2 linked regions of the Bombyx mori genome follow. The protein of the gene in region 1 binds, or shares a complex with, the protein of each later gene. Links are inferred from orthologs where the notes say so. Each region holds a gene or a part of one and is shown on either strand. Other genes may lie near its edges.

Region 1 (7,229 bases):
GGAATACAAAGTCAATAATTCGTTTTTCTGATTTACCAATCATTGTCCAAAAGTCAGATTGCCGGCTTTGATAATAGTGGACTCATATTACCAAATTGTCTTGATAGATCTGACACATACTTTTCCCATCGGGGCTAACCGCAACTGAAATCACTCCTAAAGAATGTCCTTCGAGCTGGTGCTTAATTTCTAGTTTCCCGTTATCTAATTGCCACACTTTTATGTAGTCATCCAAGCCACCGGTTATAATGTAATTTTCTGCGGATTCCTTCTGAGAGTCCCTGTAATATTAAAATGTTAATTTTAGAATCTTATGAATTTCTGTTCACGTATTTATTAACTTTTTTAATACAATTACAATCAAAATATTATCATGATATTGCTTGAATATCAAGGTTTCAATTTATCAAGCAATTATAATTCATTCATAACACTACAATAAGTTAATATTAAAACTGTTTTCTTTTCATGTTACATTATGTTTAGGTTTCATAGGTTGTATTTAGTACTTTAGGCCAGGTTAGTATAATTAATATTCTATTACAGTATAAGTTCATATGATGCTTACCACTTTAAGATCTTTTTAAATTACTAAATTATATTTATTTTAAAGTTTATTTCTGAAGCTTTTATTAGTGGCATATGGAATTAGGATTACTTACTGTAATTCCTCTGCGTTTTCTGTATCATTTTCGCCTTCTTTCGGTTTCTCGGGTTCTATCCTACTCCAAGTACAACACCAAATTGCATCCTCGTGTGCATTTTCTTTTTTCAATTGTAAATAATACTGAAAAAAGGTTTGACTTAAAATCGGAACCGGTGTTTAATTACTGAAGAATTATGTACACATTTAAATTATACCAGAGTTGTAATGGACATGATTACTAGAAGCCCGAAGCGCGATCTTAAAACCTTTAGTTTCCTAATTAAAACAAATAGTGTACATTATTTCGGAATTTTCGAATTTTACAATTTTTTGAGCAACTTTTCATAGGTACCAATTAGGGATGTAACGCGTTTGAAGAAAACCGGAAAAACCGGTTTTATAGATAAATAAATTATTTAAGAATATCGGTTTTTAAAAACACGTTACATTCACAATTCACACCACTGCTAGCAGATCAAATATACAAACTACCGTGCTGCTAAATAAAAAATGCCGTGTTTGAGATTCAAATTACCGTGCATTACATTTAAAAACTACAGTACAGTTTGAAAAAAATACAATAGTATTAAATCAAAACTAAAAAGCTTTTTATTATTGGATAATATAAGATCATTAAGCTTATATAAAATATGCTCACCCTATTAATTGTATGAAGAAAACTCTTCATTTGCATGTAAATTTGTTTTATTTAATGATTATTTAGCCTTTATGGAAAAAACCTAAAAATACCTTAAAAAACCGGTTTTTTGAGAAACAAATCAGTAATAAACCTGAGCCAGAAATTGTAATTTTTAGTTTAATTTCTTGAATCAATGAGGCAAAAGAAACATGATTCATATGCATGTACGTGTGACATATATCTTGAAAGGTGGACAATTTTGCAATACTTGACGTGATAGACATTACTTATCTTTTCCGTAAGATTGGGAATATTTACTGATGCCAACCCAGACCCTACAGGAAGTCAATCAGACCCTCCAGGTTTCCGATCCTGACCAGTGATCTTAGAATCCTTAAGTATTTTACCCGCTAGCTTACAAATCTATTACACTTCAGTATGATACCGTTGCCCTCTGAGAAAACGCTTGTATCCACTGTCCATGATACTGGTGGTACGATGATTTGTTAGTCCGCACGGGTAGGTACCACCTTACTTATTTCTGCCGTGAAGCAGTAATGCGTTTTAGTTTGAAGGGTGGAACAGCCATTGCACTGTAAAAACTAAGATGTCTCGAAGTGGGTGATGGCATTTACGTTATAGATGTCTATGAGCTTCGGTAACCACTTAACACCGGGTAGGCCGTTGGCTCGTCAAAAAAAAACTTTGTATCCATCCGTGAAGATGGTTTGGTATTAGGTTCAAATTTGTCTCCTCAAGCAATAATTCTACTAATACTTTTCTAATTAATTTCTCATGTGCCCTCTCTCAGTAGTACATTTATTCGTTATGGGATTTTAGTTATAAAATTTCATCGTAAGATTTAAGTAATAGATCAATAACTATCCAGAATTAAGTATTCTATTTTTTTTATTGCATAGTTGGGTGGACGAGCTCACAGCAAACCTGGTGTTACCTGTTACTGGAGCCCATAGACATCTACGACGTAAATGCGCCACCCACCTGAGATATCAGCTCTAAGGTTTCAAGTATAGGGCTGCCCCCACCCTTCAAATCGCATTACTGCTTCACGGCAGAAATAGGCAGGGCGATGGTACCTACCCATAAGGACTCACAAGAGGTCCTACCACCAGTAATCATAATAAGACCTGAAGGTGATTATTCGAAATGTAATGAAAATTAATAGAAAGTAGTAAAAACAGAAGTTAAACACAGAAAGAACTCAAAACTCAAACAACCTGAGAAACATTGCTAATTCTACACTGTTTCACTGTTTCTGCTCAGCTCACCATAACATAACCTAGTACGGTTAAGTACCAAGAGTCTTTCTATTTCGCTATGAAGTTTTTTATTTATTTAAAAAGTGGAAAAAGAATGGAAACATCGACCTGGTGTTCCAACGCCGGCAGTGACGGCCATTTGACTTATAAAGCTGAAAACTGGAAATTGATATAGCATTTTATAGCTTCGTTGACTTGTTGAACAATTTTAGTCAAATTACGTAAGTGTTGTAGTAGTAGCAAATTAACGATATTAGTGATCTGAGGAAATGGCTCTTAGTAGCACCGCTCTTTTGATATTTTTTAATTCCTATGAAATTTGCATTTCCTGCAGAGAATTCCCCTTTTACTGAAAGATTATTTGAATTGATTTCCTTTGAAGTCCAAGTAGTTCAACTACTTTAGTCATAGAGTTTCTTAATTCTACATAGAATAGGCTTGGCTTTACTTTCCATTGCAAAAGAACTGTATGCTCTTGATTTCTTTGTCTGTTTAAGCGAAAAAAATCAATAATCTCTATGTTCATCCCAGTGTCGACTGTCGACGGTTCAGTGCCATAGATTATACACTTTCAGTGCTGTTCGTTCAGAGTGAAAATCTGTCATTACAAAATGAATGTTCAATGACGTACCTTGGTAACTAAATACTTTTGTGATTTAGTTGCATGTAGAAATGGGAAAGAAGTGTTTTGTTTGATAGGGTAATTTAAACTAAATTACATTTCAACTTTACAATACAAATTACATTTCAATTCAACAATTATTTTTGTCACAGTTAAGCTGCGTTGAATCTAAAATAATATCAAGAAAGGACACGCCATGGCTACATCGAAGTCAACAAACACATACAATCGTCAGAATTGGGAAGACGCCGTGAGTATATTGTTGAAGCTTATCAATTATCATTATCTCATTGTGGTAGTAACCATGTTATATTTTTGCAGGATTTTCCAATATTGTGCCAAACATGTCTTGGAGATAACCCTTACATTAGAATGGTATGTATTGTGGTTTCCGATAACATTATTTCGACAACTTTGATTGTTTTTTTTCATTTAACTATTTTCAGACTAAAGAAAAATACGGTAAAGAATGTAAAATATGCTCAAGACCTTTCACAGTGTTTCGATGGTGTCCCGGAGCAAGAATGCGTTTCAAGAAAACAGAAATATGTCAGACCTGTTCGAAACTGAAAAATGTTTGTCAAACATGTTTATTGGATTTGGAATATGGTCTGCCAATCCAAGTGAGAGATGCTGCATTAAAAGTTCAGGATGACCTACCTCGAAACGAAGTAAACAAGGAATATTACATACAAAACTTGGAGAGTCAGCTGTCTAACTCTGATCCAACACAGCCAACCAATTCTCTAAAATCTAAAGGATCGTCCGATTTGTTGGTGCGGTTAGCTAGAACAGCTCCATATTATAAGAGGAATAGACCGCACGTGTGCTCGTTTTGGGTCAAAGGAGAATGTAGACGAGGGGAAGAATGTCCGTATCGTCACGAGAAGCCAACAGATCCTGATGATCCACTAGCTGATCAGAACATTAAAGACAGGTTAGTCACATAAGTTTTCTGTACATCTGCTTAGTGAAAATAAAAATAAACACGTCTTTGTAAAGTGGAATTTTAGTAAATTGCATTACAAAAAGTCTTTCGATTTAAGGTATTCATAGATTTTGATCAATTATTCATTTGAGTTCCAAAAATGAACCAAATCCTGACTAAAGATTGCGAATTAATGAGGCTTAAGTTATTGAAACTCCATTGTAATAATAGTATGTGAAATAACAGCAATATCATAGTTGTTATTGAATATCTCTTGATATTTTACAGTAAATAGCTGTTAGTGTTTCTAAAAAAAAAGTTGAAGGTTTCATAATTTTTTATTCACAGGTATTATGGTGTAAATGATCCAGTAGCTGAGAAGCTTATGCGTCGTGCTGCTGCAATGCCTGCTCTACCTCCACCTGAAGACAAAACTGTTACTACCTTGTATGTTGGTAATCTTCCTGATAATGTCACTGAGGACGAGCTTAGAGGCCACTTTTACCAATATGGTGAAATTAGGTAAGTTTGACAAGTTAACACAACAAATAACAATGCTCTGGAAACAAACAGTTCATAGAAATAAACTCATAATTGTGTCTGGTGATATACACTGCATATATCTTAATTATGTTTTAATAATCTAAATATTTTTTTATTTAAATTATGCAGCTAATGTAAAGTATTCTCATATGTTCAGAGTTGACTAACTAATATTTAATTTAAGGATTATGTACCAAGTAAACCATAGTACATCCCTAGTATTATGGTTTTTAAAATAAGACCGATATCTGATTGGTGGTTATCTTAAGTTGCTACAACCATTTTTCTCATCAGTTCACAGTAGTATTCCCTTGTATTTTTTTATTATCTATTAATGTAATTGAGATTTTGATCATCATCACAAGGCTGATGAAATTAATGGTGTGATGTTGTCATTAGAAATGTGTGTATCATTAGAAAACAAATCACTATTCTAGACTTGTTTGATAAAATTAGCACTATGTTAGAAGTTATTGAATTTTCAGATGTTTGACTCTTGTACCTCGAGCCCAGTGTGCCTTTGTGCAATATACTTCAAGAAATGCTGCAGAACATGCTGCAGAAAAGACTTTCAATCGTCTTGTTATTTTTGGCAAGAGACTGACAATCAAATGGGGTAAATCGCAAGGTAACAAAACATTATTATTGCATTGTGCAAGTTTCTAAGAGAGTACCTGGTAACTACAAAATGTTAGAATACACTACATTTATGAAAAAGTATTCAATATGTTTTTTGCAAGTTATTTTCTGAAATGAGGTTTGTACTCAAACTAGTATAATTTAAAGACCTCAATCTGTAATATGATAGTAAAAGTTTATATTTCGTAATATTTATGAGTGTGTAATGTTGTTGTATATAACAGGACGACAAGGACTTACTGAGAAGAATGATGGTGTACCCATGTTGGAACCAGTTCCTGGATTGCCTGGGACGTTGCCACCACCCCCTGCATATTTACATCCATTCCCGCCACAAGTTAGTGTAAAAATGTTTTAAATTCTATGTAAAATATTTTACTTTTCTTCAAAGGATACTGAACAAAGCCTACTTTACTGGTGGTACTTAGCTTTACTGGTGGTAGGACCTCTTGTGAGTCCGCGCGTGTAGGTACCACCGCCCTGCCTATTTCTGCCGTGAAGCAGTAATGCGTTTCAGTCTGAAGGGTAGGGCAGCCATTGTAACTATACTGAGATCTTAGAACTTATATCTCAAGGTGGGTGGCGCATTTACGTTATAGATGTCTATGGACTCCAGTAACCACTTAACACCAGGTGGGCTGTGAGCTCGTTCACCCATCTAAGCAATAAAAATAAACAAAACTTAGAGACCGTATTTGTAATATTTTGTAAATTCTGTGTTCAGATGCCACCACCCCCGAACCGTCCGAACGATTTCTTCAACTTGCACCACTATGGTGGTCCGGGCTGGGGACCGTGGGGTCCGCCTGGCATGGCGCCGCCCCCGCCTCCGGCTCCGCTCCCGGCCCCGCTCCGCCTGCACTACCCTAGCCAGGACCCCGCGCGTCTCGGGGCCCACGCACACACCAACGCGCCGCAAATTTAGCAGTTGCTAATAGAATTCATAGTCATGAACTTTAAATTATGACGATGCTTGTTAAACGTGAATAAATCCAATAACTATGATTTGTGCATTGTTTGTTTGTGGTATTCTTTGTGTGAAATTTGAAAAATAAATTTAAGTAAGGTTCGATATAGAGTAGCCATTCCCAAAACGACCCAGTACCTTCAAGCTTAATACCTATAGAATAGTAAAATAAAGAATAAAAAAACGGAATTGAAGATGGTGGTGTGATCTAAATGAATTATTTTTAAATAAACGAGCACTGCTAAAGAAGATGGAAAGACGCCGTAACAATTTGCTAGTACTAGAGACCTTCATTCAAATTAAATGAAACTGACCTAACTAAAGAATGCTAGTAATGAAAAAGTTCTTATAAGTTTCTACATTTCTTTCATGTTAATATCAATAAAGGTTTCAAAGTAAAACAGATATTCTGAAACTATATTTATTATTAATCATAAGTTCATAACATTACTTAATTGTTACAAAACAGTTTAAACATTCTGATAAAACTACATTCCTTCGCTTACCATTTATTCTGGGTAAGGACGGTCTGTTAAATAATTTACATTAAACTAGGCCCAGATTACGTAATGAATCTTAATTAAGATGACGCACTAATTGTACGTCGCGACGATGAAACAATTTAAAAGCAGATTAATATTGGCTCAGAAAGCTGTTTAGTCGGTTGACTAGTTTTAAGAATATGCTCATATCCTAATTCTATACATATACATTATAGTGTTGTGCATCTAAGTCTCAGTGAAGGGCAAGAAGGATCATTCAGATTAACGGTAATTAACTATATATATATATATATATATATTTAAATGAACATCGAGAATACAAGTTACTACTAAATTAGAGACGTTAATAATTTATGTACACTTTGGAATGTTAGACACATCTAAAAGTTTAGTTTTAAAAATCGCTAAAGGTTTCGAACTCCACATCACAAATTATAATTTAGCATTAAACAGTATAGGGA
Region 2 (7,142 bases), on another chromosome or scaffold:
ACAATTTTTTTTTTATTGCTTGGATGGTTGGACGAGCTCACAGCCCACCTGGTATTAAGTGGTTACTGGAGCCCACAGACATCTATAACGTAAACGCGCCACCCAACCTGAGATATAAGTTCTAAGTTCTCAGTATAGTTACATCGGCTACCCCACCCTTCAAACGGAAACGCATTACTGCTTCACGGTAGAAATAGGCAGGGTGGTGGTAGCTACCCGTGCGGACTCACAAGAGGTCCTACCACCAGTAATGACGCAAATTCTAATTTTGCAGGTTTCATTTTTATTCGATGTTATTCCTTCACCGTGGAAGTCAATCGTGAACAATTGGTTAAGTACGTATTTCATTAGAAAGATAATAATAAAATAACTTGAACGTACCTGTTGTAAGTGAAGTAGGGCTCTTTCAAGTCTATAATTGTCCGAGACAAGTTGCGCCCACCGTCGCCTCAATGCCCGCAACCTCGCACCGCTTGCTGTTTGTACGCGTTTACGTTCCCAGTTCACAGAGCCTATTTGTTTACTGAAATGTAATTATTGTTTTTAATAGACTGGACTTGTGTGTACACAGTAAAAAAATTAATTTTGGTATGGTCTAAATCCTTAATTCCCAAAGTGGTTCAGGTGGACGCCCAGGGGTCCACAGAATACTCAACGGGGATCTACATTGGCGTACTATTTTTTATATTTAACACTCCGAATAAGGAGTTTTCTAAATGAAATAAGTGAGAATTGATGGGTTCCTTGTGCTGTGAGTAGATATCAATAAAGTAAAGTTGGATGGAATCGCTTTTTTATTGGCAAACTTTCCATTTTTTACATCCATTCACAGCAGCAAAATCAATTGATAAATTAAACAATCAATTCTCACTTTATTTTTCGAAAACTATGAAATCGCGGTTGGAACTTAACCGCGACGCAAATTTTCGTACTTACATCTAATCTCCACATTTTTACACAGTTTTGGAAATATGGTAGAAACCTAGTTAGCAGGGGGTTCCCTTGCAACCAAATAAATGTTGAAAGTGGCCAACAGAACAAAACCTGGAAGCCTCTGGTCCAAATGATATACAGTCAAACCTGGGTAAGTGAGAACTGGATAAGTGAGAAAACTCTATAAGTGAGAGTAATAGCCAGGACCCGTCATTTTTAGCTCCTAAAACCTCTATTAGCGAGAAACGGAAACCTCTATAAGAGAGAGTATTTTTTCCCTCATGAACCTCCGTAAGTGAGACTGCTACTATTCTATACCTCTATAAGCGACAGTCGAGCTTTATTTATTTATATTATTTAGGAGGAACAAATGACAAAACAAATTACAAATTTAAAATCTGCTATTTTATGACCCATTCTTAACTTTCGTGGAACTTCTTAACATTGTTTTTGTATTGTTTTCTCGTCAATATTGAACCTATTCTATTTCGTGGAACTAAATAACGTTATTATTTTATGGCATTCTTTTCGAATGGACACGTGTGCCTGTGTACCATCTTGTTTGTCAGACTTACTCAGTTTATCGTTAATCAATTGCTGTCATTAAGTGATAAACTTAAAATAGTGAATTCGTTTGAATCCGTAAAATCTCTAAATGAAATTCAGAGGGAGCATTAGAGAGAAACTCGGGTTAGTGAGAAACCTCTATAAGCGAGAATGAGATTGTGCTCCCTTGAACTCTCGCTTATCCAGGTTTGACTGTAATAGTTTGGAGTTATATAAAATCCTACAAGCAGTTCTAACCTACTGTTTCTATGAAAGGCAATAAGGGTCAAAGCAACAGACAATTACTTCCCTAGGCTCTATAATCGAAGATAGACTCCCTGTCAAACTAACAACCATTTAAATATAATTTCTATGTTATACATCTCTTACCGTAACTGGTTGTGTTCGTTTTGAGCTCTTGTGACTAATGCTTGAAGTGTATTGAGGTATGATCTCCATGCTTCTGAACCGTACTCTAACTGCAACTCTAAATTGAGAACTCTGATAGCTTGGTGTGACAGCTGTGCATGAGAGTTGTCAACTGACTCGGCCCAGGCACTTGGTTCACTCATTCTTCCGACTGGAGGGGGTGGAAGTTCATACCTGAGGAATTAATTATACATAATATTTCAATAGTTTTTTTTTTAAAACCACATTCCTGTGCTTCACTACATCACGTGATCACTCAATAGTGATGTTTGTTAACATGACCAGAGGATTTGGCATATTAACAGTCAGCATCACAAGATACCACTTAGTAAAAGTTACAGACCTACATATTATATCTCCTCACAATCTTACTATTACTTCATTATCATCATGTTCATACTGTGGCATCAGTAGCCAGGCTGACTCAAATACCAACTTAGCTTACAAACCTATCAACTTAATTGAAGTCGTCGTGGCCTAAAAGATAAGACGTCCGGTGCATTCGTGTTGAGCAATACACTGGGTGTTCGAATCCCAGGCGAGTACCAATTTTTCTAATGAAATACCTACTAAACAAATGTTCATGATTGACTTCCATGGTGAAGGAATTACATCATGTAATCAAAATCAAGCCATTAAGCAGGCCGAATGCAGGCAGCATTGGAGGAAGCTGGTGCAAAAGCTGGACCAAGGTGGTCACGACCCTCAGTAATGAGGAAACGACAAAGAAGAAGAAGAAGAAGAATCAAAATCAAACCCGCAAGTTTTTATTTACGTAATTACTGATGGTAGGACCTCTAGTAAATCCGCGCGGGTAGGTACCACCATCCTGCCTATTTCTGCCGTGAAGCAGTAATGCGTTTCGGTTTGAAGGGTGGGGCAGCCGTTGTAACTATACTTGAGACCTTAGACCCTATATCTCAAGGTGGGTGGTGCAAATTAAAAGAACAAAATAATAAATAAAAAAAATTGCAGGTTTTATGCACCTCTTCATAGACAATGGTTCCATCGGCAATCTCTGTTGCACTCTTTCCATCTCTCGTTGTAAAGCAGGAGTTTCAAATGCAGAACTTGGTTCTGGTCCTGCATTTTCAAGATAGTTCTTTGTGGGTCTATAGCGTCTGCACTCTTCTTCCACCATGGCCAATGCCTGAAAATCAATTCCCATATTTAAGGGTAGTTTAAGGAGTCTTCTATAAGTAGGTTTGATTATAAGGACATTTTATACTGCAGTATCAATAAGAAGTGCTTTAATAATACTTTTTTGAGACAGCTTCCCAGTCACACAATCAATTATTACAATAGCAATGAAACAAAATAATAAAATCGTGAATTGAATTGAATTTGAAATTGACATTAAAATTGAAAAAGAATTGAAGCAAAAGTGCTTTGTAGCTTACAGTGTATGCAAAAATTCCTAGAAGTTCTGCATTTCCTAGACTGACCAAGATGAATATTACCAAAATTACTTCGTTTTGTATCACTCAATGCAAAAAGGAACAAACAGAAATCTAATTTCAAATTGATCTTTGGCAGTGGTCGAACCAAGACTATACAAATCGGTTTATTCTAAAGGTGAAATTATTCCATTTCGAAAAAGGAAGTCCTTCGAAATAGCATACATGTTCAAGAAACAACGAAAAAAAAACATTTTTATATAAATCTCTCAGCGGTGACTGCGCATTTTGAAGCAGACGAGAATATAACCCACATTTGTGAAGTGTGGTCGTTCAGACCAGCAATACCAAAATGATTATTGAATTTCTTTCTCTAGATGTCAAAGCTAAAGCGATATGAATCTTTGTTGTAAAGGAAATGGTCCAAGAATTAAAAAAAGTAAGGTTATCATAATACTTACAGCTTCTCTTACTCCAGGATCGTCATATCCTTGGTCTATATATGGTAATGCATCTACGACAACTTCTCCTGCCATTTTCTACAAAATTTATAACTCCCTTTACTACGAATGGGTACTGTGATTTATCACTTTATATTAAAGTTTTAACGCTGTTCTTTGTTTATTTGATTTTAGTTGTGTCACTTGTGTGACATTCTTCGTTTGAGCTAGTTTTAAGCCTAAAATGAACAGGCAAAAGAAATATAGTCCATATAGCTAAATCTTTTGAATTCCTCGATATTCAATAAATTGATATTAAATTAATATTATATTATAAAATGGAATTTAATGAAAGAAGAACACATCGAGTAGATATTAGATGAGTTGATAATGAAACAATGGTGCTTACTGAGAGATCAACGAACTTATTTTGAAAATATTCTCGAGTGGCAGCCACACACGACGCAGCTTAGATAGACTTTCGACGAGGTGAACTGACGTCCTACTGAAAGTCGCAGGAATCTAATAAATACGGTCGCTGCACGTCTAGGAGTGGATGATTTGTGTGAACACGTCCAATGTTTGTTTGATTTTTTAAAACTTGTGCCATTTCACATGTATTCAGTGATTAAAAAGCTTTCATTACTACAAAATTAGACATTTTATTACAGATACATTCGCGAAGCAGTTGCCCTTAGCTGTTAGATCTCCTACGGAGTCGTGGCCAGGTCAGGCCTTCGGTACTTTGGAGGATTGGCTTGTGCGGCTTTTCGAAGCCTGCCTTGAGCCCGGACGGAAATCGGACAGATTCATCCTTCTGAGGAAAGAGGAGCTCCTCTAGGAGTCATCCGTGGTGTACCACCACATCGTGTTGCTGGACGAAACTAGAAAATTGTTGGAGCAAGTCGTGGATGCGTCATCTGCCCCATCCCCAGGACGGGTTCCAATCGGTCAGCCGAACAGTACGGCTTCAGAAAGGGCCGGTCTACCATCGACGCAATCATGCGTGTGTGTACCCTCTTTGATGAGACTGTTGCCCGGGGCGAGGTGGCAGTTTCCTTAAAGTCTCAGTAAATAACCATCATTTTACTTAGATTTCACGCCAATTGATTATTGTTTCAAATTAATCAACTCTATTTCATTTTACTTCATATTATCATTTTTCATAAAATACAATGATAACTTAGGCTGTATCGTATGATACTTTTGCCTTTCCAGTTGGAAAAATAGAACTACTACAAATATTGACAGTGGACAGTAGCACTATTGTCAAAGAATAGTGTTATATTGATAAATGTAAATTAATGATAATAATGTCAGACTTAGGTGGTGGTACCGTACCTACTGTACCTACTGAAATATTCCTTTTAATTTGCTTACATACTCTTTTAACGTAAATAAATAGGTACGACTGTCACGGAAGGAAAAAGATTGTTATTGTAAAATAATTAGGTGCTTTTTATATTAAACTTAGTGTAATTAAAACTCGTGGACCTATTAGTCAATGTATTGAAATGTAATTCAATTTGGTTTTTTCAGTAGAACAAAACAAATTCAAGCTTCCAAACCACAAGACAAATTTCTTTTTCGTCTTGTTTATATTCTACTGAAAATGACCATCCAAGAAGATTTAACTCAATCCGAATCCCCACAAACGGATTTAACTAAGGTTTTAAATTTGGAATTATTATTATTTGTTGTAAAATTTAATGCAGTACAAACTTCACGGCCTTGATTATCTTTATAAACTTCCTAATTCTAGAAAACACAATATTTTTTTATAAATGAGAATAATTTATTTTTAATATTTAAAAAACAAATTGCAGGTTGCGGCATTACATCAAAAACGTACATTGGCATTTGTAAATCATTTCCTAACAATAAATGTACAATTTCTGAATAACTTTATGACGAATTGCGAGCAGAAACTGATGCAGTTTGAGAGAAAATTAGAAAAAGTTAATGCTGCCATGGTTTTGTTAGAATCTAAGGTGATTATATTTTTATAAATTATTGTATGTAAACAAAAACGGATATCTAAAATGTTTTTATTTTCTATCATTAGTCATAATAAACCATTTCTGCAAGACCTTCTCTGGAAAGCTGTTGATTGATCTGATAAAGTAAGAGCAGCCTATTGATATATTTGCAATGCATAAAGCTTCAATTGAATTAAAAAAAAAACGGTCTCCTACCAGATTAGAAATTAGACTACTACTAATTTTAAGATATGGCATCATTGCATTTCACCATAATCCTTATTCAGGTTGTGTTTATGCCATTTCTTTAATTGCCCATGTGCCTCAAAAACTTCATTTTAATTGATAGCATACATCAAACCGATACATAAATAGATAAAACTTATTGATTTCAGTTATCTTCAATACCAGAATTAGACATTCCTAAGCAGACAAATACAAGTAATGTTACAGAGACTGAATCTACTGAAAGTCAAAATGAAACAGAACTCCAAGAAGAAAATCTAGAAAGAAAACTAGAAGACCAAGCCCCAGCAGAAATGAAAACTAAACCTGAATATGATAAATTTGTTAAAATGGTTCAAGTAGGAGTGCCATTGCAGGCAGTGAAACTCAAAGTCTCGTTAGAAGGTCTCGATCCTGAAATACTGGAGCAATTAATAAAATAAAATAATATTTTATTATTTACATTATTGTGTTGTTAGCATAGTATGATCAAATAACCATAGTGTGTAAACCATAGTTTACTTTTATAGAACAAACAATAGAACAGTGTATTCTGTGATACCTCTAATCTAATGGGATCATAAGTGTAAAATTAATAAAATAAAATAATATTTTTTTTTTGTTTAATTGTAATCAACGTATAGTTTAGAAAATATTATCTTTTATCTATAAAAATATCATTCTAATTGTTAAAATTGTAATGTTTTTGTTCTTATCGTTTTAAATAATGTAATAGGCTCAAATATTTAAGTAGCATTCCTTAATATTTTTATGAAATGTTGAAAATGTTGTTTTTAATAAAGGATTTTATAATCATGCAAGATTATTGATCACATAGAGGTGGACCTAGAAAAAAATCATTAAATACTTCTGAAAGTTGATATATGCTTACTATTTTAATTAATTTATTTTGTGAAACATGTTGTATGCGATTTATTCCTTTTTTTGCAAATAAATAGTATTCTTATAGGGGTAGTAGGTGTATTGATTTATGAGAGATTTATTTGACGTAAAATTGGCCATGTCAGTTAGATTGTGTACAATCATGCTACAGAGATACTATTATATTATATTCTAGTAACAATAATAGGCACCTATAGGCATCAAATGTTGTACCATCCTAAGTAATTGCAGAAATAGTTCTCTGCCAGCACCCTGATAATAAATAAAAATAAGGCTGGCCATACCATTAA

The links. Proteins that work in one complex are often made in the same cells at the same time.
Region 2: pre-mRNA-splicing factor RBM22 (region 1) and pre-mRNA-splicing factor SPF27 share a complex: the UniProt entries of both Homo sapiens proteins name them as parts of the postcatalytic spliceosome P complex. The link is inferred for Bombyx mori from reciprocal best matches to the Homo sapiens genes RBM22 and BCAS2.

Annotation. Positions count from the first base shown.
Region 1 is NC_085127.1:4,266,406-4,273,634, reverse strand, and holds pre-mRNA-splicing factor RBM22, read left to right. Parts: upstream 1-3,090; 5' UTR 3,091-3,266; intron 3,267-3,340; 5' UTR 3,341-3,384; coding exon 3,385-3,438; intron 3,439-3,509; coding exon 3,510-3,563; intron 3,564-3,634; coding exon 3,635-4,125; intron 4,126-4,464; coding exon 4,465-4,638; intron 4,639-5,144; coding exon 5,145-5,287; intron 5,288-5,522; coding exon 5,523-5,635; intron 5,636-6,022; coding exon 6,023-6,223; 3' UTR 6,224-6,303; downstream 6,304-7,229. Other genes in the region: WD repeat domain 61, read right to left, coding at 121-281, 663-787, 862-879. UniProt on the Homo sapiens protein: Required for pre-mRNA splicing as component of the activated spliceosome. Involved in the first step of pre-mRNA splicing.
Region 2 is NC_085118.1:939,561-946,702, forward strand, and holds the start of pre-mRNA-splicing factor SPF27, read right to left. Parts: upstream 4,299-7,142; 5' UTR 4,155-4,298; intron 3,985-4,154; 5' UTR 3,842-3,984; coding exon 3,767-3,841; intron 3,059-3,766; coding exon 2,895-3,058; intron 2,083-2,894; coding exon 1,870-2,082; intron 524-1,869; coding exon 175-523; 3' UTR 1-174. Other genes in the region: WASH complex subunit 3, read left to right, coding at 5,358-5,414, 5,572-5,736, 6,120-6,392. UniProt on the Homo sapiens protein: Required for pre-mRNA splicing as component of the activated spliceosome. Component of the PRP19-CDC5L complex that forms an integral part of the spliceosome and is required for activating pre-mRNA splicing.